Linked DNA regions of Struthio camelus. The protein of the gene in region 3 purifies or fractionates together with the protein of the main gene of each other region. This does not show direct contact. Links are inferred from orthologs where the notes say so. Each region holds a gene or a part of one and is shown on either strand. Other genes may lie near its edges.

Region 1 (7,861 bases), on a different chromosome or scaffold from region 3:
ATAAATATGCAAGATTTATGCCCTGCATGAATGCACAGAGTTAAAAGTGAGGTTCAAGTCAAAGATGAGGATCATGCCTTAAGTTACCGATGCTGTAGTCATGTTGAGCCTGACCTAGAGCAAGACGTTCACCAAGATACTCCAAAGAAGGGCCAAAATTCCCACAATGGCAAGAGACACCAAAGCGTGTCTAGTGCTTCTAGAGTTGAAGCACGCCTGCAAATCCTCAGTACAGAGATGAGAGCTGAATTTTATTTGGAGAGATTACTCAAAAATTGGGAGGGAGAAGAGGACCAAGGACAGAGTCCCGTGGAGTTCCTCAAGGAACGACGCAGCTTGGAGGAAGCTCATTTGGACAAAAAGGACAAGCTACCGCAGACCATGAAATGGAACAGGATTTCAAGGAGAAGAGTGTGAAGACAGTGGCAAAGGACAGATTGATTACGAGCAGGTCACTACAGATTAGAAAGAGCCATTTCTTAGAAACAAATACTCCGATTCTTATATTATTTTCTAAGATATCACCACTTGGTGCACTGACAAGGCAGAAAAAAAATATCAATCAAAATGTTAGTGAGCTTTATGTGATTTCTCCTCTAATCAGAACAACAGAAGAAAAATAACGCTCTAGTGACTTGTGATAGACACCTGAGCTCAATGGTAGCTCAGAATAAAGTTTAATTACACTCTTTAATGCTGACATTCGAAACAGGCTGTTTAATGTTGGTTACCAAGCGTAATCAAAACAGAAGAGTTAGGAGCATGGAAAAGGCTTAGCTTTATAGTTGCCCCATTCCATTTGGGCTGCCCATAGCAAAATCTTTCTCACAACATGGGTCTTCTTTCCACATTCAGCGCCAAAACCTCAGTTCCTAATGCCTTCTGGTCCAAAATAAGTCACGTTTTGCTAAAATGTAAACAGGTCGCTGAACTGAAGCAGCAACAGCTACTCACACTGTCTTTATCTCCACATAAATTCCAGGAATCCAAATCCATGACTACAACTGATGAGGATCTACAGTCATAACACTTACAGACAAGGCAATAGTTAACCTGTCACTACTCTTAACCTTCCTGCATAACAAGGTATCAGGCCAGTGTAGGATAGCCCCTACCTGAAGCTTCAGATCTGCTTTATTGCAGCTGAAGGCCTCATATACCGCAAGCCAAAATGGAAAAGAGGGCTCTAAGCACTTTGCAGGACTGCCTCAATACATAAAACAAACTATCCCAAACTTTACAAAAGATTTAGTAGAAACTGGAATGACACTTTAGAGTATTATCTGTGCATTACTACAAAGCTTACTTTAGCTCAATCAATAACATGCAAAGCCTTCATACATAGTGTGATAGTAAAGATAATTCAGCCTTTTTTAGACTTGTGAAAACGTTAACTTTCCCGCTCTCAGGTTACTGTTGCATCTGCTGCTAGAGTTCACCAAATCTGAGTTTTAGCATCCCATACTTTTCTTCTTATTTGTGACTAAAACAGACTATTTTATCTGTGGAATGGAACAGTGATGCTCCCTGATCCCAAATCAGAGCTGATATCATGCTTAAGACATCTTTTCCCCCACCTCTCAAAGTAATGTACTAAAATAACTCAGGCAAGCATTTGGGAGGCTGAGGGTACTACCATTCAGGTGCAACAAGGTCAGATTTTTTTTCTTTAAAGCATTAAAATGTGATGCTAAGCAGAAAACCTGCCCAGAAGCTGTGTGATGCCAGAAGACTTCTGAGCAATCATGCCCCAGAGAACCTCAGATTTCAGTTCACTCCTTAAAGGTTAAGTTGGAAACTCCTGGCACAAGCAGATAACTATACCCCCTTCTTCCCACAACACTCCCCACATTCTCAGCACTCCGTTGAGTTTCACAACCAGCCCTGGACTTTGTCAAACTGCAAGAGAATGCTCACGATCACAAATATTACATATTTCCACCCAAATTGTACCCTTCTTTCTGACAATCAAATACACAAATCATCCAAACAAAACAGCAAGCACTAAAAAGCAGGAACCGGACAAGAGAGCATGGCACCCGCCAAAACACAAGGCTGTAGGAAATTCTCTCTAACTTCATGCTTCCAAGAATATTCTAAAAATAGAAAGAGAGCTTTTCACACTTAGAAATACATCTTTTTCAAGACGCAGGCATGGTGCAAGAGATTAAGTAAGAAGCGTTTCTATATTTTTAATTACACGGCGCTCATTTGTATCACCAACATGAATCAAGGAAAAGGAATCAGATGGAAGGAAACGGCATTTTTTTAAGCTAACGCTGGGAATTACTTTGCCAAACTTCTCCACACAAACTAGATCCAAGTGACTTTCGCTGATGGACAAAATACCCCAACCATCCTGCAGCAGGCCGGTGACCGCCTAAACAGCGAGGCTGATCCGAGGCAAGCGCGGTCCAGAGCGGCGCACGCAGCCCTGGCACCGCACAGGTTGGACAGCCAGCGTAAATCATCGCCCCGCAGGGCATACATAATACGTGGGTTTTTAAAGGGATTTTGCAAAGCACTCGGGAGCACAAAGGGGGCACCCCGAGGGCTTCAGATTTGGGGTACGTGCAGGAAAAGCCTTCTGGCTGCTGCCTGCCCCCTCCCGTCGGTGGAGGGGGCCGCACTCCCCCCCTCCAACGAAGGGGAGGAGGGGAAGGTGCGTGCGGGGATCCCGGGGCCTCCCCCCCCCCCGCCACCGTCTCCTTCCCGCCGGGCCCGGGCCCGCACTCACAGCGCCGCAGCCACTTCATCCAGTGGTAGACGATGGTGCTGTGGTGCCGCTTGTTCTCCAGGCACCACGACGACAGCCCCTGGATGGACTCCATGGTGTTGGTGACCGCCTGGAACTTCCTGTCGAGCGAGGCCTCCAGGGCGCCCGCCGAGGACGACGACGACGCCGACGAGGAGGCCTTGCCGCTGCCTCCGCCGCCGGCCGCCATCTTCCTGCCCTGCTCGCCCAGGCGGGGCCGCGGGAGCGCGGACGGCGCCCTCCCCCCCCCCCCCCCCCGCGGCGAGGCGGGGGGCGCGGGCACGCGGCGGCGGGGGCGCGCGGGGCGAACGCGCCGCTCCCCCTCCCCTCCCCCTCCGCGCGCGCGCCCGCCGCTCCCCTCCTCCCGGTGGACGCGCGCGCGCGCGCGCGCAGCCGACGAAGCGAGGCAGCGGGAGCGCGCCCGCCCTTCCTCCCTTCTTTTCCTCTCGCCCTCCGCCGGGAGGGTTTTAATCGGCCGCGGGCGGCCGCGTCCCGCCTGCCCGGGCTGCGCCAACGGCCGGTTACCCGCCGGCCCTCCCGGCGCGCAGAGCCCGCCCCCCCGCCGCCATTTTGTACGAGGCTCCCTCACAACAGCCCCAGGGGTGGCACTGCGCACGCGCCGCCGGCGCCTCCCCCTCCTCCCGCGCCGCGCCGCGCACGCGCGCCCCCCCCTCCGGGGCATGCGCCAAGCCGCCTGCCGGCTAGTACGCAAGCGCGGCGCCCCCGCCACAGTGCACTCTGCGCATGCGCCCTTCCCCCCTCCCACCTCCGTGCGGCCCAGCCCGCATGCGTGGAGCCGGGCGGGCCGTGAGCCAGGGCGGAGGGCGCCGCGGGGGTCCCGGCAGCCCTTGCGCGGCGGCGGCGACGGTGGTGCTGGCCGCGCTCCCAGCCTGCCTTGCGCGCCAGCATGGCGCTGGCCGGCCGTGGTGGGGCCCTGCGGAGGGGCCCCGCGGAGCAAATCGCTCCATTATGCCCAAAACCACAGAATGGTTGAGGTTGGAAGTGACCTCTGGAGACCATCTAGTCCAACCCCGCTGCTCAGGCAGGGTCCTCTAGAGCACGTGGCGCAGGATCACATCCAGACGGCTTCTGAGTTATCTCCAGGGAAGGAGACTCCACCACCTCTCTGGGCAACCTGTGCCAGTGCTCCGTCACCCTGACAGCGAGCAGCTTTCCCTCATGTTCAGGTGGACCTTCCTGCAGTTCAGTTTGTGCCGGTTGCCTCTTGTCCTATCACTTGGCACCACGGAGAAGAGTCTGGCCCTATCCTCTTGACACCTTCCCTTCAGATACTTGCACACATTAATAATAACCCCCTGAGTCTTCTCTTCTCCAGGCTGAGCAGGCCCAGCTCTCTCAGCCTTTCCTCATATGAGAGGAGCTCCAGCCCCTTAATCATCCGCTGGACTCTCTCCAGTAGCACCATGTCTCTCTTGCACTGGGGAGCCCAGAACTGGACACAGTACTCCAGGGGGAGGCCTCCCCAGGGCTGAGGAGAGGGGCAGGATCACCTCCCTCGACCTGCTGGCAACACTCTGCCTCATGCACCCCAGGATACCATTGGCCTTCTTGGCCACCAGGGCACACTGCTGCCTCATGCTTAACTTGTTGTCCACCAGGACCCCCAGGTCCTTCTCTGCAGAGCTCCTTTCCAGCAGGTCAACCCCCAGCCTGTACTGCTGCCTGGGGTTAGTCCTCCCAAGGTGCAGGACCCTGCACTTGCCTTTGTTGAACTTCAGGAGGTTCCTCTCCAGCTCCAGCTCCCCAGCCTGTCAAGCTCCTTCTGAATGGCAGCACAGCCCTCTGCTGTATCATGCATTGTACTCATGCAAAACTTGACCTCAGCCTTTCTTAGCACATCCAGGCTTTCCCCCTCCAGCCTCTGCTTGCCCACCCCCCCCAGCTAACCCTCCTCCAGGGCCTCACACCTAAAAACTCAAAAGTCTCTCCCAGCTTTCCCCTGCCCCCCCCCCCCTTTGTTCTCCTTTACAGGTGAAGACAGGAGTCAGTGAAACAGCTTTGGCACTGTTTTGCAGATTTGTGAACAAGCCTCAGCCCACAGCAAAGAAAAGCAGGGTATAGCCACAGTGGCTGGAGCAATACGCTCCGTGCAAATGGGAGCTTTGAGTTTCTCCAAAGCAATTTAGCTTCCAAGGAGGAAGCTCAGCTGGGGCAATAACCCCTATCATTTAAAAAAGGGCACACAAAAAGCTCTCCCCAAACTTCATTGCTTGACAGCAACAATTCTGACTGCCAGCCCTCAGGCTCCCATTTCAGAAGTGTGACAGCAGTCAGATCTTTCCAAACTCAATTCAAGCTTGAGTGTGAAACAGAGGCAAGAGTCCAGCACAGCCCACCACCTGCAGGAACCACACACTGCCAGAAAAAGCGATGTAAAGAAACACAGCTTGCGCTTCCTTTTAAAAAAAAGTTTATTATGTAAATATAGGATGTGGGCTAAGTCCCCGTCTCCTACTCTGCTTTACAAATTCCAATGTTCCTTACCTGCAACCTTTAGACCATTGGGGCTCACCTAAACAACTTCCCCAGTGAGGAAATGACCTTTACATGCACCGATTACCCTGGCCAGTGTCACACCTCACCTACCAAGCACCTGACACAGTGGCGAGGCACTAGTACCTCAGTCTGAGACTGCTTGTTTTTCCTGAAGGACTACAGATATTCTTGAAAACAGTTTCTCTCCCACTACCCCAAAACTGAATCCTTTCCAGAGAAAGCAAGAGACACCTACAAGCACGGCTGATGGCTGGATGCTACCATCCAGCAGTTTTGCTCCAAGAGCTGAATTCATCCAGAAAACAAGTGTAACTGTGGTTTGTTTTAAAAAATATTTCTTTAATCATATGCCTTGTACTGTGGAGACCGGAGGGGAGGAAGGGGCTCGTCCAAGTTCCTGCGAGGTATTGTTCTCAAATGAACAGGAATGCTGGGGGTGGCAGCACCCTCAGTCTGTGGATTCCAGCACGGACTCGCTCAGAGCCAGGTCCCAGTAGTGCTCTGCTCCGTGCTTTTTAAAGTGCTCCCGTGCCATGTTTTCAGTGGGGCACTGCTTAAATTTCATTTCGCCAAAGCTGCGATCCTTTGCTGTGCCCTGAAACAGAGAAAAGGGACACTTTTTTGGATGCATCTCCGGGATAAAATAGCTGGAAATACACAGCAAACCCAGGAATAAACTTATTAATAGTTTAACAAATGATTAGCCAGACTTCCCCACAAAGCATGGGTTACATTGTGCAGGGGGAGGTGCTCATAATTCTGCTATAGTTAAATAAATGTGCGCAGAAAGAATCAAGCCAGTAGGATTTCATCTGGTCCAAAGCTTCAGAACAATTAAGTGGTTTCTGCTTCAGCTGTTCTGTTACAGGTTTAGCTTCCATCCAGTCTAAGCTCCTGGGACTCATATTTAACTAAAGTCGCCACTCACCTCCCAAACCAGAGAGCATTTGTTTGTTTTCTTAACAGATTCTTCATCAGACTCATCATCATCTAAAAAAAAAAAAAAAGAAAAAAAAATAAGGAAGTTGTAGTCCCCCAGGCAGGTGAAACAACAGCAACCCTCACTGCTAAGTCACCTACCCCTCACAGCACCTCTCCTGATGGACAGCAGTTACAGCTGCCATCTCTGTGCAAACCCCAGCTCACGTTTTTGGTGGTTACCTGGTGCTCTGGGCTTGGATCCCCTACCTCAGGCAACCACCTAGGACCTCCCTTTCTTTTATTACACCCAAAACACCTGAAGGTTGACAAATCTCCCCCTTCACTCACACTCTGTGACTTTTTGCCATTTAAAGCGGAGGACCAGCACTAGCGTGGCTCTTGGTGCATGACAGAGTGCTGCATTTAAATTATAATTAGGTCTACTTTCCAACACTCTAGAAAAACTTTTATCTCAATCTATTGCCACCCCTCTCCCTGAGTAGTTTTATGCTTACCCTCTCCCTTTGTGTTTGATGTTTGTTCATCCCATTTTATTCGATGGAGCATAAGACGCTTGAATTTCTTCTGTGCTTTTGGGCCTGGAGAGAATTGCAAATTCACATTCACACAGTTCTTCAACTCGGAGTTTTTAGAAGGTTTTAAGAAGCAGCAGAAGCCAAATGGCACCTGCAAACACAACTAAGCCTTTCAAAGCATACTCAGCTGACCAGGCAAGACAGGTAAAACACAGGCCAGGCCAACTCCAGCACAAGCAATTCCTGGCATGCCCAAGCTTTCCTGTGGCCTTTGGGATGACACTTAGCTCTAGATCATCTCAGTACCTCCTGCTGCAAAACAGATTCTTGCAACACCTTACAAAAATACTTAGAGCCATGCAAATGGTGAACACTGCAGCAGACTCAGAGTTGCGACCCTGCTTGCTCTAAGCAAACCCTGAGAGTATCATGGTTTCAAATCAAGTACACTTAACTGATGCTTTCCTCCAACATTTAGTGCTCTGGGTTTTCTAACTGGATTAGAATGCTCTGTAGGCAGTGCTAACTCCATTAAAACTATAATTAAGGGAGTTTTAAACTGCCTCCTGCTCTCCTCATCCTTCCATAAACCTCAGCCAGTGATTTGCACATGCAGGCATCTTTGCTAGAGGCAAGCTTTTGACCATTATGTCGTGTCCAAAAGCCTGTCTCCAAAGTCCTCACCTCCTTCTACCACGACCACGTTGACATCTTTGTGTAAAACCACCACGCCTGTTAAGTACAGCTGGCCAGCGTTTGCCTCAATTTTGAATTTTTTTGCTGGATTGCTCAAGTTTCTGACCCTAAAGACAGAACAGAATTTGTCATTTGTCAGGTCTAATAGAAATAGGCATATGAAAGAAAAAAAAATCTGTCAGAGTACAGAGCTCAGCGCTCACCTATACACAGCTATGTGCACCCCCTGTGAAATATCTTCTTTGAGCTTTTTAACTTTCTTCGCTTTTCGTTGTTCTGCTGTTAGTTTTCTTGCAGCATTTGCTTCTTCATGAGCTCTGGATGGGAAGAGACACCGCAATAAGCAGAGATGCGGCCTACCGCATGTCTATTCACGGCATCCAAATTGATCCTTCTAGTGTCACACACAGAACATGTCCCACAGACCCCAAAGCAG
Region 2 (7,165 bases), on a different chromosome or scaffold from region 3:
TAAACAGTCAATTCTAGAACACATCATACTAACTTTCCTCCAAGCTTTGACTGTTCCTAAGAACGATCCTATGTATGCTAAATGCCAGCATTTTAAAGAACTTCAGACAAAAGTGAAAGCAGTATTATAAAAACATAGATGTATGTATATCTGATTACTGAAGACATATCAACACTTAACAAATCATTAGCAACACCAGAATTTAGCAAGACAAATCCAGTGTTACATAACCCCTCTCAGTTACAGCAAAGGCATGAAAGTGTTGCCCATTCTAAGTTTGCATTTAAGTACAGGAACAACAAGTGAATCAATGAAAGCTCAACTATGGAACAATTGTAGGTGAAGGGGTGAAGATATGATGATTTGTACATATGCTGTAATATGGTATTAGAACACTGCCAATAATCCAAGTAAACAGGAGCAGACTACGATTTTAGTGTGCCCAATAACCTATATGTGCATTTGAAGTGCTGCCCCTCTTCACTTCTACTCCAGCATGATACAGACATTAACTATTCCAGAAGGCAAAGAATCAGAAACAAATCTTTAGGAGCAAAAGAACAATGATCTTAACTCTGTTTCATCAATAGCTAAAGTCACCTTAAGAAAAGTCTATGCAACCTGATCTAAACACAAAAAAGGGTCTTTTATCAAAATTGAAAGCATCCAGAAAAATTCAATCTCATACTATATTGTGTTCAACTCAGTCAGCTACGCAATGTTTTAGCCAAATCTTTCACAAGCCTGAAAGGGCGTAGGGTAGAAAGGTTTGGAGAAGGGGAGCAACAACAAAAAGGTGATACAACCAAAGGATATAAGATTTAGAAAGGCAAGGTTCAATTTTCAGTTCCAGGACAGTATTGCCTCAGTGAAAGCTGCGAGAAAGCAAAGCATACCCATCAGTTCTTGACAGAGGCTTTATCCTTGCCTCCCAATGCCCCCTCCAAATATTCAGCCCATGTTTCTAAAGTTTCATTTTTCCAGTTACTCATATTGGACAACAGGAAAATTATGCTAATGCTAAAGTTTAAGAGCTGAGCGTTGATGTTTTTGTTATGAACTAGTACTATGCATGTTATTCAAGACGACCAAATCACTGGCAGAGCACCAATCATTGAGAACACTGAAAATTTGAAGTTGTTTATTTTAGAAGACCCAGGAACATGAAGTGTTTCATATGCAGATGAAAGACCCATTCATTTGCTGTCAGAACAAGAAAATAAAAAAATCTTGCAACAACCATATAGTGAAATATTTTTATTTAGTCTTATGAGATAAGCCATCAAATCTACATTTTTTTAGATAATAAATTGAATTATTTGAAACTATGTATTAAAACATCCTGTAATGTGTCATTCCTTCTTCTAAAGGGGAAAAACACTCAGACTTGAAAGTTCAAAAGACAGCATTTCATACAAATATATTTTAAACAAAAATACAGTAGTCATGTGAATATCTACAGAGTTTATGAGAACCTGCTTCCATATTGCACTGTAAAGTTTTGTACTGTTTCATATTCAAGATTTTTGTTCTATGGTAGTTCAATCCTTTTTCTATGAAGTTATGTCCTCTAACCTAAGAGGTAATTATGATCCAGCCCTACACTCTTAGCATACCAAAACAAATACCATTTCTGCAGGTCATATTCTCCTGTTATTCGCTTGAAACTAAGGGAATGGCTTAGCTCCATTTTTCCTCTCCACTTGAAAACCTAGCCCTCTACTTTTGCCATTAAAGATTCAAGTATTATTGAGAGTAGAAAAGTTGCTATTGGAAGGCAATAACATTTTCTAGACCATGCTAGAGCTCTAGGAAGTAATTCTGGTTTTTTTTGTTTTTTTTTTTTAAATGAGTCAACTTAAGATCTAGTTACTTTCTAGGCAGGTCAGGTAAGGCTTCACAGGCCATCTCTGCCTTTCAGTGGCTGAACCACTTTCTACAGTTGCAAGTTCTTTCCTGTTAAAAGGACAGCCACACAAAAATCTAAGTCTGTGCATTCAGTAACATCAACTGAATACATCTAAAGAAACAAACTCATCCGTATTATGCTAACATCAGTATTAGTCCACTTGCAAAAACAGGAAGTAAATAACCCCTCTGGACATATTAATCACCCATCCCCTGAGGTATTCCCATCTTCAGCTGCTCCACGAGAATAACTGCTGGTATAAGTGGGCAAAGCCACCATGTCAGCCCACACAGACCCTTTCAAAGCTAACATTGTTGCAGACAACGAAAGATAACGCATAAAAACGGTTATGTTGTAAGTACCTTACCTATTACTATTATAACAAGAAGCCCTATACCCCGCGCTCGCTGCCTTCCTTCCCTTCTTTTGCCCCTTTTTTCCTTGCCGCTGTGGGGAGGGACAAGTCAACACGAAAAGCAGCATCCTCAGAAACATCTCTGGGAGGGAGGGAAGGAAGGAGGGAGAAAGAGGGGGACCGCGGGGGGGGGGGGGGGGAAGAGAAAGGAGAAACACCTCCCAACCCCAGAGTCATCAAGAAAGCAGGGTTTGTTACTTGTCTCGGTAGCTCCGCGGACGGCTGGCGGCCTCCCCCTCCCCGCCCCTTCGCCGTCTCGACAGACCAGGCCGACCTCCCCGGGCAGGCACAGCCCCGAGGGCGGCCCCCTCCCCCGCAGCCGGGCCAGGCGCCACCACCTCCATCCCCGCCGTCCCCGGCGAAGGCCCCACCCGGCACCGGCGGGCGGCCGAGGGCCCCGCGCCGGCGGCAGCCTCACCTTTGCGCAGCTCCCGCTCCCACACGCTGACGATGAGCGCCGAGTGTTTGCGGTGGTGGATGAGCCAGAGGCTCAGCGTCTGCACGCTCTGCTGCGAGTTGCTCAGCTCCGACAGCTTCCGCTCCAGCGCCGCCTCCGAGAAGGCCGACATACCGGGCCGCTGCCGCCGCCGCCGCCGCTGCTCGGCCTCGCCGCCGCCGCCAGCGCCCCCGCGGCCCGGCCGCGCTCAGTCGTCGACGACGCCGCCGCCGCTCCGCCCAGCGGGGGAGGAGCCCGGCGCTCCCCGGCCCTTCCCTTCCCGCTTCGCCGGCCGCCACTTCCGCGCGCCCCGGCAGCCCGCCGCGAACAAAATGGCGGCGGCCGCCGACCCTCCCGGAGGCCTGCCGGGCCGGGCCCCGCCCCTCCTCCTCCGCGCCTCACTTCCGGCCGAGGGGAGGGGAGGGGAGGGGAGTGCTGGGAGCGGTTCCCGCCTTTTGTGCGCGCGCTCTCGCGCGCGTGTCCCAGCGGCCCTCGCGCGTGCCCCAACCGCCCGACCGTTGGGGAGGGGTGACGGGAGGGGTGACGGGAGGGGGGGGGGGTTGGGCGTGGACGTGGACGGGCGGGCGACAGTGTGCCCCCGCAGCCACACCAGGGCGCGGGGCAGCTCGCTTAAGTCCTTCCCTCTGCCTTCTCTTGCCCTCGGCAACCTTTTTCTAAAAAAAAAAAAAACCTTTTCTTTCACTCTCTTTTTCTTTTTAAAATTCTTGGCTTTGACCCCACCCTGTGGCACAGTTCCATAATGATTCCATAATGATGGTTTATGTGCCGAAGCATTTCCTCTTCCTTGTTTCAAACCTGTTCCCTTAAAAGCTTTGATGGATGCCCGCTAGTTCTACTGTTGTGGGAACAGTGAATAAAAGTTGTTCCATGCCCAGGTTCTTGGTGGTGTTCATCGTTTTGGAGATTTCATATTGTGTCGTCTTCAGTATTTTCTTTTTCAAGCTGAAGAATCCAAATCTATTTAGTATTGTGCCTGGGTGGAAGATACTGTATGTTGCCGGGCATGTGTAGCTTTTCTAGTCTTAGTCTTTCTCTTTTAAAAATGTCTCACATCACATCTTATTTTAAATATCACTGAGTAACTGACACTGACTATGCACTTTAGGTCCTACAGATTCGTCCTGAATCCTTTCTCTGGGTAGTTAATCATTACAACTGCAGGCAATGTCACAGATATTGTTTTAATATTTCTATACAATTATATGTGTAAGAAAAATATGCTTATACTGTACTTGGGGGCATCCTGACAGTGGTTTAAGTATTCACCCTTAAAACAGTGTTCCTGTAACCCTATCCACATCCAGTTGCTTCTTACTGAAAAGCAACAAGCTAGTTGTGAAAAAATCTTTAAAATGTTTTTAAAACTAATTTTTTTCCATATTTCGTGTCTTACATTCAGAGAAGATGGCCCAGATGATTCTCATGAGCATTCTTTTCAGGGAATTTTCTTAATACTGGTTCTTTTTAAAGTATGAGTCATGTCAAACATAAAACCTTGGGGGTGTTATATATTTTCAGGTGAATTTTATTCACAAAATCGTCTGTTTCTGTCCGGCTTTGATGATTTTGGATGATTTCCGGCAGAAGAATTTAAGCAAAGAGCTGCACTAATCTTTGGGAAGTCTTGTTTTTTATAATTTCACTGCAATTTGGTAATCATGAATGAAAGAGAATGTGTAGTACCATGCTATTTTTGCTAGGTACAGCAGAGGACACTGTTGGCATTATATAGAACTGGCCACTGACGTAAAATTAAGATAGAGCTAACATAGATGCAAGCATTAGCAAAATTAAATATGAATAGCAATTTAGAAATTAACTTTCAAATAATATTTTCTGGAGGTGCACATTCTGAAGTTAATGGTGGAAAATGTTGTGTGCAACTATGGAAAAAGATATAGATTTATCTCACAATAGTGGATGAAAAAGGATCTGACAACTAACTGGGCAAACTTTAGAAGTTAAAGCAGAGAAGATAAGGAAAAATAACAAAGCGGGTCTAGAGAATGTTAGTAGTAATTGCAGTAATGCTTATTAGTGCTTCCTTTGCATCCTTCATCCCAGATTCTCGAAACATTTTATAAACAAGGATAAATCCTCTGAGATAGGTATTTTGTTTATTCTGCAAATAAATATATTTGAACGGCAAGAGGACTAAATGATTATTACGTGTTATACAGCAAAACTAGAATTTATAGCACATTTTAAATTTTTAATTGTAAAAGTTTACATCAATAATCTAATTCTAAAAGCTATGCTCATCCAGTCAGAGAATCAGAGTTTTCTATGAGACTTAATCAAAGTCAGCTGAATCTCAAACAACAAGTATTCACAATGGGATATTCGTTTGCTTTGGAGCTTTGAAAACCTCAGCTTTAATTCAGAGAAGCTTTAATTCAGAGAACAATTGGTGAATTATTCACAGAATCACAGATTAGCTGGCTTTGGAAGGGACCTCTGGAGATCATCTGATCCAACCCCCCCCCCTTCTCAAGCAAGGTCAGCTAGAGCAGGTTGCCTAGGACTGTGTCCGTTTGGGTTTTGGATATCTCCAACGATGGAGACTTTACAACCTCTGTGAGCAACCTGTTCCAATATTCAACCTCCCTCAAAGTAAAAATGTTTTTCCTTATGTTCAGACAGGACTTTCTGTCTTTCAGTGTGTTCCCATTGCCTTTTGTCCTGTTACTGGGCATCACTGAGAAGCATCTAGCCCTGTCTTCTTTGCACCCTTCTATCAGATGTTTATAAACATTTATGAGATTCCCCCTGAGTCTGATAAACATAATAATCTGATAAACATTTATCAGGCTTCTCCAGGCTCTTCTCCAGGCTAAACAGTCCCAGCTCTTTCACTTGCTTTTGAAAAATTCACCCAGCTCTGCAAGGGCAGAGTTATAAACAGATGTCACGTTTTCTTCCGCTCATTGCTGTATTCAAACCATAATAACATCTTTCCTCTAATTTGCTAAGAGCAAAATTATGCCCTGCTGCCTTTCTGTCTGATTCTGCACTTCTATCTGATCACCATGGGTTAGTGATAGTCCACTGTCTTCTCCAGTACCCAGAGAATTGACCCCATGTGAGTTCTAAGACAATGAATGTGATTAAATTGCGGAGTTGATGTTTTTGTAGAATATGGGCCCAGGAAGCTCTAGGTAGTTCAAAAATGTAGTTACATCTCAGATTGCACTAGCAGTCACCAAAAGGCTTTACAGCATCTATACACTGTATGTTCATGTTCTAGAAGCAGATTTTATGCTTCTCATTTCCTCTCACTGAAGGACATCCACATCAAATTGTTCTTAAATGCGGAATTTCACTCTAGTAACAACTGGAATTCCCTCTTACCTTGAGGGAATCTTAGGAAGTGTTTTAGCACTAGAAGGGCTGATCTGTCTCTAAAATAACAGTGCTTGTGGTGCATTGTGGAAAAAGTGAAAGCACCCTCCGCATACACCACCACCAGTCTGTGTCATTCTATTTTGTTTTTGTTTTTGCCAAATACCTAAGCATTTCTGTCATCTAGTGTTAGTTCAAAGAGAAGGCTTGGTTCTACCAAGATGACAAGGGCATGCAGTGTCTTGACTCTACTATAGGTCTGTCTCACAACTATGCCAAGCCACAAAACTATATATGTGCTCCTTCTCTGCCTGAGTCCTTCCACCTCATGATCAGAAGGTTGAACCCTGTTTCTTGGACTGCACAGCTCTCGGCAGAGCTTACTGAGTTTAGCTCCCTGTACTCTTGGAGCCATGATCAAAACAAAGCTGCTCCAAGACAAAAGCATGATTTTTTTATATCCAGAAATTATAAAGGTAGAGAAACAAAAGATAAGATAACACAGGCTTATGTATTTTCTCTGAAACTGGCAAGAAAGGGCAAAAGTTAAGAGAGCATAGTATTGAGAGGGATAAGGTAGATTGTCTATACCAACTCTGCATCTCTCGTCTTTCAGATAAGGCTTAAGGCATGGGCAAAGTAGGTGGTTTGCTTTGGTTAGTAGAGTGACCAGAACAGCAAAATGGGCATAGCTCCTCTACCTACAGTACTTATGCCAGTGTCACAAAAATGTGCCCTTGAGTGTGTTAGGGTACTGCTGGAGAAGCCGAGCAGCCCCTCCCAGGAGCAGCAGTAATCACTAGCACCAGCTCTCCCAGTCTCCTACCAGGAGGCATAACAAGTTCACTTCTGCAGGCCCTACATTCTTATTGGCTATCTGTCCCAGCTTTGTCTTTTTGCTTTCCCACTTCTTGCCCAAGGCAGGGATGGCTTGACATGCCTCATGCCTCTGGCGTTCAAATGTTACTCAAAATATTATTTTGCCTATGCTTAGGGCTGCTCTGTTCACCTTAGTTTACAGATTGTCTTTTAAATAATCAAA
Region 3 (7,449 bases):
GCCGGGGCTGCAGGCGGTCCGGCAGGAGGAGGGCTGGTTCCGGCTGCAGCCGGACAAATCCAAGCCGAGGGAAGCCGAGTGAGTCTCGCTGAGGGATGGCGTGCGGTGGGACGCGTGAGGGGCGGGCGGTCACACCAACTCCGGGGCCTGCAGCGTGTCGGGAAGGGGTTATTCCGGGGACGTGCCCTTCGTTTGGAGGAGCAGTTCCTGGGAAATGCCCTGCCCTTGGCCACGCTCTTCCCTTCCTTTGGAGGAACAATTGCTGGAAAATGCTCTTTCCTTGGAGGGACAATTCCTAGGAAAGTGCTCCTCCGGAGAGGCAATTCCTGGGAAAAGCCCTTCACTCAGAGGCCAAGAGCTGGGAGGGCAAGTGCAGGGCAGCTCTACGTGCCCTCCGAGGATGTCCGAGGCTGGGGGCCGGGATGTTGGGACGCCTCCTGCTCTGGGAGGTGCCTCTCCATCCCACACTTGTCCTGTCGCAGAGGCAACCTGGGATCTCTGCAGCTGCAGGTGCGGCTGCGGGACGAGACGGTGCTGCCCTCCAGCTGCTACCAGCCCTTGGTCCAGCTGCTGTGCCAGGAGGTGAAGTCGGGGCCCCAGGTGAGCATTGCCCCTGGCCGAGTGTGCCCCACGTGTCCCAAACACGTCAGCTCCTCCCCAGAGGGGGGGGGGGGTAATCTGCTTCCCTAGTGCCATCATGTCTTCATCCCTTGTCCCCACCAGGATGGCAAAGTGCACCTGATCACCCTCCTTGATGAAACCACCACGGCCGAGTGTCGGCAGGAGGTGGCCATCAACCTGGTCAAGCTCTTCCTGGGCCAGGGGCTGGTCAAGGAGTTCCTGGATCTGCTCTTTGAGCTGGAGCTGGCAAAGCCGTGTAAGGCTGGGAGCTGGGGCTGGTGCGGGGTGGCCGCAGGGTGGGTGACACCTGCCTGTCGCTGTCCCTGACATGCGACCCTCCCTGTCGTGTTTTGCAGGCGAGCCCAACACTCTCTTCCGGAGCAACTCCCTGGCCTCCAAGTCGATGGAGTCCTTCCTCAAGGTGCTGCGCGCTGCCCCCGGCATGGGAACGTGCTCTGCCCCCCTGCTGGCCCGCCGGGCTGCACCCTGCCTGCGGCGGGCCCCTGCTGGGAGCTTTGGGGTGAACCCCAATATTTTCAGGTTGTCCCAGCTCCATGCTGCCCCTGCTGGTGCCTGTGTCACCCCCCGCCCTGGGAGGGGGGTTGGCTCTGGGCAGGAGGGATGCCCGCAGGGATCCCTGGCCCTGGCCTGCAGGGATGCTCGTTGCTGGGCGGGGATGTGCCAGGAGGTGGCTGGAGGCTGCACAGAAAGAAACAATCAAAGTAACCCTGGGCGGCTCTTAGCAGGGGGATTTGGGGTGTCTGTAGCGGGTGCCGCTGGCAGAGTGGCAGTGGTGTCCCCAGCACTGTGTCCCCTGCTCTGTCTCTTGCCAGGTGGCCGGGATGCAGTACCTGCACGCTGTCCTCGGGCCCACCATCAACCGGGTGTTTGAGGAGAAGAAGTACGTGGAGCTGGACCCCAGCAAGGTGGAGATTAAAGACGTTGGGTAAGGGGCAGCGCTGCGGGATGCGGACGGAGGGGGAAACGGCAATCTCCCGAGGGCCCCCCAGCCCCCGGCGGGGCTGACGGCAGGCTGTGTCGACAGGTGCTCGGGGCTGCACCGCGTGCAGACGGAGAGCGAGGTGATCGAGCAGAGCTGCCAGCACCTCCAGTCCTACCTGGGGGAGCTCCTGGCCGCCATCGCCAAGTCGGCCCCGGCCTGCCCCGCCATCGTCCGCGCTGCTTTCCGCCAGCTCTTCCGGCGCGTCAGGGAGCGCTTCCCTGAGCACCAGCACGAGGTGGGCAAGAGGGGAAGGCCCTTGGGGGGATGATGGATGATTCGGGGTCCTGCTCTCCCTCGGGGGTGGCCGCGCTCTGCGCCAGGAGCCTTGGCTAAGGCTTGGCATGGGCTACGGGACCCCAGGGTTCCCCTCTTCGGCAGGGGTTGGGTGCTTCCCACTGGGAACGGTGCATGGGGAAAGCAGGGCACGCAGCACCGAACTGCAGCTCCCAGGAGGCCCCACAGCAGTGGCTCAGAATCATGAGACTTTCTGCTTTCAGTTTATTTGAAAATTGGGGAATTTCCCTTGGAGATTCCCAGGGGATGGGGGACTGGAGGCATCGCCCCCCATAGCTTGGAGGCCCTGGGGAAGATGGGGCTCATCTTTGCAAGGTGAGGCTCTTTTGGCCCTCGTCACCACAATTTCACTCCCACCCTATTCGCAGTCACATCCCACATAAATATGGGATTCCTGCTCGTGCCGTGGAGGCAGCTGCCACGGCCTCCCCGAGGCACCAGTGAAGGAGCCCTGGGAATAAATCAGCATGTGCCCTGCCCGGGGAATGTCAGCCCTCGTGTGTTGTGCCTTCACACGTGGCTCATGCCCTCGTGAACATGTTGTATGCCTTGTGCCCTCATGTGCGTCCTGTGCCCCCTGCGTGGCTGCAGAACGTGAAGTTCATCGCCGTCACCAGCTTCCTCTGCCTCCGCTTCTTCTCACCAGCCATCATGACCCCCAAACTCTTCTACCTCCGGGAGAAACACGCCGACTCCCGCACCAGCCGCACGCTGCTTCTCCTGGCCAAGGTGGGATGGGGACACAGAAAGGGTCCCTGGCACCTGCTCTGGGTCACCTGGGCCTGTTTGGGGAGGGGTGGAAGGCTAGGGTCCTGGTGCTGTGTCCTCCTGGCCAGGGTGCTGCGTGGCCCTCCTGGGGTTTGCTGAGTGCCCAGCCGCCATGTCCTTGCGGGGCTGGCTGGTGAGGAAGGGCCAGGACACCTGGGGTCTTGTGTGGTGCCTGCAGCTCTGACTCCGCTGTCCCTCATGGCTCCAGGCCATCCAGATCGTGGGGAACATGGAGGCGGCAGCAGGCCGGGCCAAGGAGGCCTGGCTGGCCCCACTGCAGCCCGCGCTGCAGCGTGGCGTCACCCGGATGAAGGACTTCATCACCGAGCTGGTGGGCATCGAGGAGAAGGAAGGTGAGGGAGGTGGCTGTAGGGACGGGCGCAGCCCTGCGGGCTCCCCCTGACAAGCACGGGGCTGTTCCCCACAGAGCTGGACTTGCAGAACGCCCTCACCCTGCAGACGCTGGTTGTCAAGGAGGGCCCACTCTTCGTCCACAAAACCAGGGGCAAGGGGCCGCTGCTCTCCTCCTCTTCCAAGAAACTGCACTTCTCCCTCACCAGTGAGGCCCTCAGCTTTGCCAAGACCCCCAACTCCAAGGTATGGAGGGACGTGTCTCAGTAGGGCTGGCGTTGCATGGGAAAGGTGCTGGCAGAGCCATGGGCCCCATCTTGGGGACGTGTGCCACCCTGGGGTGCTGGGCTCTGCATTGCATGGTGGGTCAAGGCTGGCGATGGCGACGTGGCAGTGCCCCATAGCTCCCTCCCTCCAGTCCTTGGTGGCTCTCAGGTGTCTCCAGAGGCTGCAGGGAGGGTGCTGAGCCCCACTTTTCCCTCCATCCCTGGTGACAGAAGAGCAGCTCCATCGCACTGTCCAACATCCGGGCAGCTGAGAAGGTGGAGGAGAAGAGCTTCGGCAGCTCCCACGTGATGCAGATCGTCTACGTGGACGAGGAAGGGCAGCAGGAGACGGTGTACCTGCAGTGCAAGGTGGGCGTGGGGGGCCGGGGCCGGGGCCGCCGTGCACATAGGCCCCCCCCCCCCCCCCCAATCACTGCCCCGTCCCGTCCTGCAGTGCGTCAACGAGCTGAACCAGTGGCTCTCGGCCCTGCGCAAAGCCTGCGCCAACAACCCCGAGATGCTCTGCTCCTACCACCCCGGCGTCTTCAGAGGGGACAAGTGGAGTTGCTGTCACCAGAAGGACAAGACGGGTATGGCGGGGCGGGCAGGGGACGGGGGCCGGCCGGGTTCCCCGCTGGGGAGCGGCGGGGCCCGAGCGGCGGCGGGTTTGTCCCCTAGGGCTGGGCTGCGACGCCAGCCGCCACGGCGTCACCCTGCAGGAGTGGAGCGACCCGCTGGAGCCAGACATGGAGGCGCAGCTCATCTTCCGCCACCTCTGCGGCCTGCGGGAGCCCATGAGGTGCGGCGGGGGCCAGGGTGGGGGGCTGGGGGGCCACCCACTGCTTGTGGCTTCATCCCTCTCGCTTCAGGGAGAGGTACCGGGAGCTGCTGGAGGCCCAGGAAACCCCCAATGGACCCTGGAGCCGCCCTGAAGGTAGCGTGGGTGGTGGGGCGGCCATTTTGGGAGGGAGGGACCCCCCCCCAACAACCTGTGGGGGGTGGGTGCCAGGGGAAGGGGTGCTTCAGGGGGCCGCCGGCCTCACTCTGCTCGTCCCCCTCCACAGGGGGGCCGCTGCCCGAGGGGCTGGGCCGGCTCCTGGCCGTGCTGGGGGACCTCGAGGGCTGCCACTGCCGGGCGCACCCCGCGCCCGCCCCCGGCCCCCTCCTGGAGCTGCAGACCTGAGGGGCCCCCCCGCGCCCGGGGACGCCGCCACTGAGGGGCACGCGGGGCCTCCCCGCCCCGCGCCGCCACCGCCAAGGCAATAAAGGCTCCTCGCACCCTGCGCCCCGTCGTCCTTCCTCGGCGCTGTGGGGCGGCGGGGTGGCCCGGGGGGGGGGGGGAGGACTGAGGACAGGGCGGGTGGCCGTGGTGCCATCGCTGATGGCAGCACTAAGGGCGCTGATGGTGACATCACTGGTGACGCCATCTGGCATGGCTGGTGGCCCGGGGGGGGGGGGGGGCATCGCTGGCGGTTCCGCGGGCGCTACCGCGGCTGGCGGCGCTGCTGGGGGCACCGCCGCCGACGTCACTGATGGCGCTGCCGCCGACGTCACCGCGGCGGCTGCGCGGAGCCCTGCGGGGCGCTGGAGGCGGCGCCGCCGGAAGCGGGAGCCGGCGGCGGGCGGAAGTGACGCGCTGGGCGCTGTGGCAACGGCGGGGCGAGCGGCGGCGGCGGCGGCGGGATGAACGCGCCTCCGGCCTTCGAGTCCTTCCTGCTCTTCGAGGGCGAGAAGAAGTGAGCGGCGGCGGCGGGAGGGGGGTCCCGGGGGCCGGGCGAGGGCGGCTCCGCGAAGGGAAGCCCGGGAGGGGGAGCCCGGTGCCCCGCGGCCCGGCCCGGGCGGGCTCCGCGTTGGGGCGGCGCCGGCGTTGACGGGGGTGTGTGTGGGGTGTGCGCGCAGGATCACCATCAACAAGGACACGAAGGTGCCCAACGCCTGCCTCTTCACCATCAACAAGGAGGACCACACGCTGGGCAACATCATCAAGTCGTGAGTGGGCCGCGGCCGGGGGGGGGGGGGGGGCGGCCGTTGGGGCGGCCGGAGACGCTCGCGGCGCTCAGCCCGGTCGGGGGCTGCGGCGGGTCTAGCGGGTGCTGGCAGCAAAGCATGGCTGCCCACTGCTGCTCCCCTTCCAGGCAGCTACTGAAAGACCCGCAGGTGTTGTTTGCGGGCTACAAAGTGCCGCACCCGCTGGAACACAAAATCATCATCCGCGTTCAGACCACGCCGGATTACAGTCCCCAGGAAGCTTTCACCAACGCCATCACAGACTTGATCAGTGAACTCTCCCTCCTGGAGGAGAGGTTCAGGGTAAGCTTGTTTACTTTAGCTTTTATTCTATTTATTACTTGCAGAAAGCTCACCTGCTTGAAAGTTAAATGGAAGGGGTAGTGTATGTTAGAACTGCTGCCATTTTTAGGCAATGAATTCATCAAAGCTACGTGCAGCAGCTCATAGCACAAACAGCTCCTGTCAAGGGATGGTGACGTCTGGCCGCCCTTACGGGGCAAGGGGGGAGAGGGCGGGGGGGGGGGGGGTGCGCTGGCATACCCTACAAGAGTTAAATGGGTGCTTTGTCTTTCCTAGTTGTCCAGTATTGGATTTCTCCCAGTTTTATTGGAATGGAAAACAATTCTCTAGTTCTTCCAAGTCCCCTTTTTTTTTTTCCCCCCCCTTCTGCCAAAACTCTTTCAAGGGACAGTATTTGTTTTTAATACTTTTTTGGTTAATTGTGCTCTAATGTACAATTCTATTTTTTTAGCCTCAGATCTTTTTTAGATTTAATCTAGCTGAAAAGTATGTCAGACAAAAGCAGGGAGAGCTTTGAATAACGTAGTATATGTGTAATATTCTTTGATATGCTCATAAAAGGTAACAGTGCACTAGGAATTCTTTTGCCAGTATGTTTTGATTTTACTTTAAATATTATTTAGCATGTGGCGCAGAGATTTCCACTGTTTCGCAGTTGTTCTTGTGCTTCGCAGAAGACTGATACCTATGTTTAAAATAACTTCTTCCATCTCGGTGATATTTTTTGTCTTAGTGTCTGTATTTTTTTTTTGTTTGTTTTACAGGTTGCCATTAAAGACAAACAAGAAGGAATCGAATAAAATTATCATGTTTAGAATGGACTGTACCTCTGGTATAGAGTGATATGGCTATTAGTTGAATGCTTTATCTGAACCGTCATTCATGGCAAAGATTTTCTACTTGTCCCACTCGTCGTTTAATTCTTGAAAGTAGTCGCAATAGTTTGGGGCTTTTTTGGGTCCTATGCCAAGAGGATTAAAGTCTTGTTTGATTTGATGGATACTTCATTAAAATCACTTTTTACTTTTCTAATTGGAACCATAAGGCAAATACTTGTACTAGGCTGCTGGCAGGGGTGTATGTTAGCCTAGTGACTGTACTTCCAGTGTGAGAAGTTCCTGAGTGATAGGGGTGGATGAACTCTCTTAGCACAGCCCCAATCCTATATATATATATGTGTGTGTGTGTGTGTATATGTTTTTCAAAAAGTCTTTGCACTGCCAACTGAACTGGTATTTTGTTTTATTAAGTGTCAGTTCTATAAAACAAATGCACAAATTGTGAAAACTTACAGTAAAAGAAACTGGATGTTTACAATGACTTGAGGAGTTGTAACAAACTCTTCCCTTTTTCTCTTGCATGATAATAGCTGGTCTAGAAAATATGGTTACATGGGTAACAGTCACTAATACTGCACTATTTCAAAGCACGGGAATGAAACTTTCCATTACAAGTAACTATGACTTCTTCCAAATGGCTGTTATGTTCACACTAGTTAGAGCAACAAGGTAAGTGAAGGTGGGGTCTGTTATCACATTGTTTATTAGGACTTCAGTCAGCTGCTCCCCATTTGCTCGAAGCTCTGGCCATTTGAGAATCTAGGAAGAGAACAGAGTTTTTGTGGGTTTTTTTTCTTTCTTTCTACACAAAGACAAAAGGAACAGTATTGCGTCTGTAACTTGGAGGATACTAACTACTGCACGTCCTAGTTTGACAATTCGTTTGCTGTGGAATCTGCTTCCAGCACAGTGCTACATCTCTACCGACCTGGGGAAGCTGACTGGAAGAGTCCTTCCCCTTTTTCATGGCAGGACATACACCTTTATGATGTTCCTA

What was found. The genes of interacting proteins can lie anywhere in the genome.
Region 1: the proteins of POLR2J (region 3) and RPRD2 purify together in Homo sapiens (affinity purification with mass spectrometry; 3 studies listed by BioGRID and IntAct, with this or other methods). This does not show direct contact. The link is inferred for Struthio camelus from reciprocal best matches to the Homo sapiens genes POLR2J and RPRD2.
Region 2: the proteins of POLR2J (region 3) and RPRD1A purify together in Homo sapiens (affinity purification with mass spectrometry; 3 studies listed by BioGRID and IntAct, with this or other methods). This does not show direct contact. The link is inferred for Struthio camelus from reciprocal best matches to the Homo sapiens genes POLR2J and RPRD1A.

The regions. Positions count from the first base shown.
Region 1 is NC_090971.1:2,706,829-2,714,689, forward strand, and holds the start of RPRD2 (regulation of nuclear pre-mRNA domain-containing protein 2), read right to left. Parts: upstream 3,001-7,861; 5' UTR 2,946-3,000; coding exon 2,738-2,945; intron 1-2,737. Other genes in the region: PRPF3 (U4/U6 small nuclear ribonucleoprotein Prp3), read right to left, coding at 5,721-5,867, 6,201-6,262, 6,709-6,792, 7,414-7,532, 7,629-7,742.
Region 2 is NC_090943.1:68,678,578-68,685,742, reverse strand, and holds the start of RPRD1A (regulation of nuclear pre-mRNA domain-containing protein 1A), read right to left. Parts: upstream 3,001-7,165; 5' UTR 2,894-3,000; coding exon 2,743-2,893; intron 1-2,742. UniProt on the Homo sapiens protein: Interacts with phosphorylated C-terminal heptapeptide repeat domain (CTD) of the largest RNA polymerase II subunit POLR2A, and participates in dephosphorylation of the CTD by RPAP2.
Region 3 is NC_090957.1:14,405,058-14,412,506, reverse strand, and holds POLR2J (DNA-directed RNA polymerase II subunit RPB11-a), read left to right. Parts: upstream 1-4,889; 5' UTR 4,890-4,986; coding exon 4,987-5,039; intron 5,040-5,202; coding exon 5,203-5,292; intron 5,293-5,438; coding exon 5,439-5,613; intron 5,614-6,377; coding exon 6,378-6,413; 3' UTR 6,414-6,933; downstream 6,934-7,449. Other genes in the region: ras GTPase-activating protein 4, read left to right, coding at 1-78, 483-600, 724-877, 978-1,042, 1,455-1,567, 1,667-1,859, 2,510-2,647, 2,895-3,039 and 6 more; LRWD1 (leucine-rich repeat and WD repeat-containing protein 1), read right to left, coding at 7,071-7,211. UniProt on the Homo sapiens protein: Core component of RNA polymerase II (Pol II), a DNA-dependent RNA polymerase which synthesizes mRNA precursors and many functional non-coding RNAs using the four ribonucleoside triphosphates as substrates.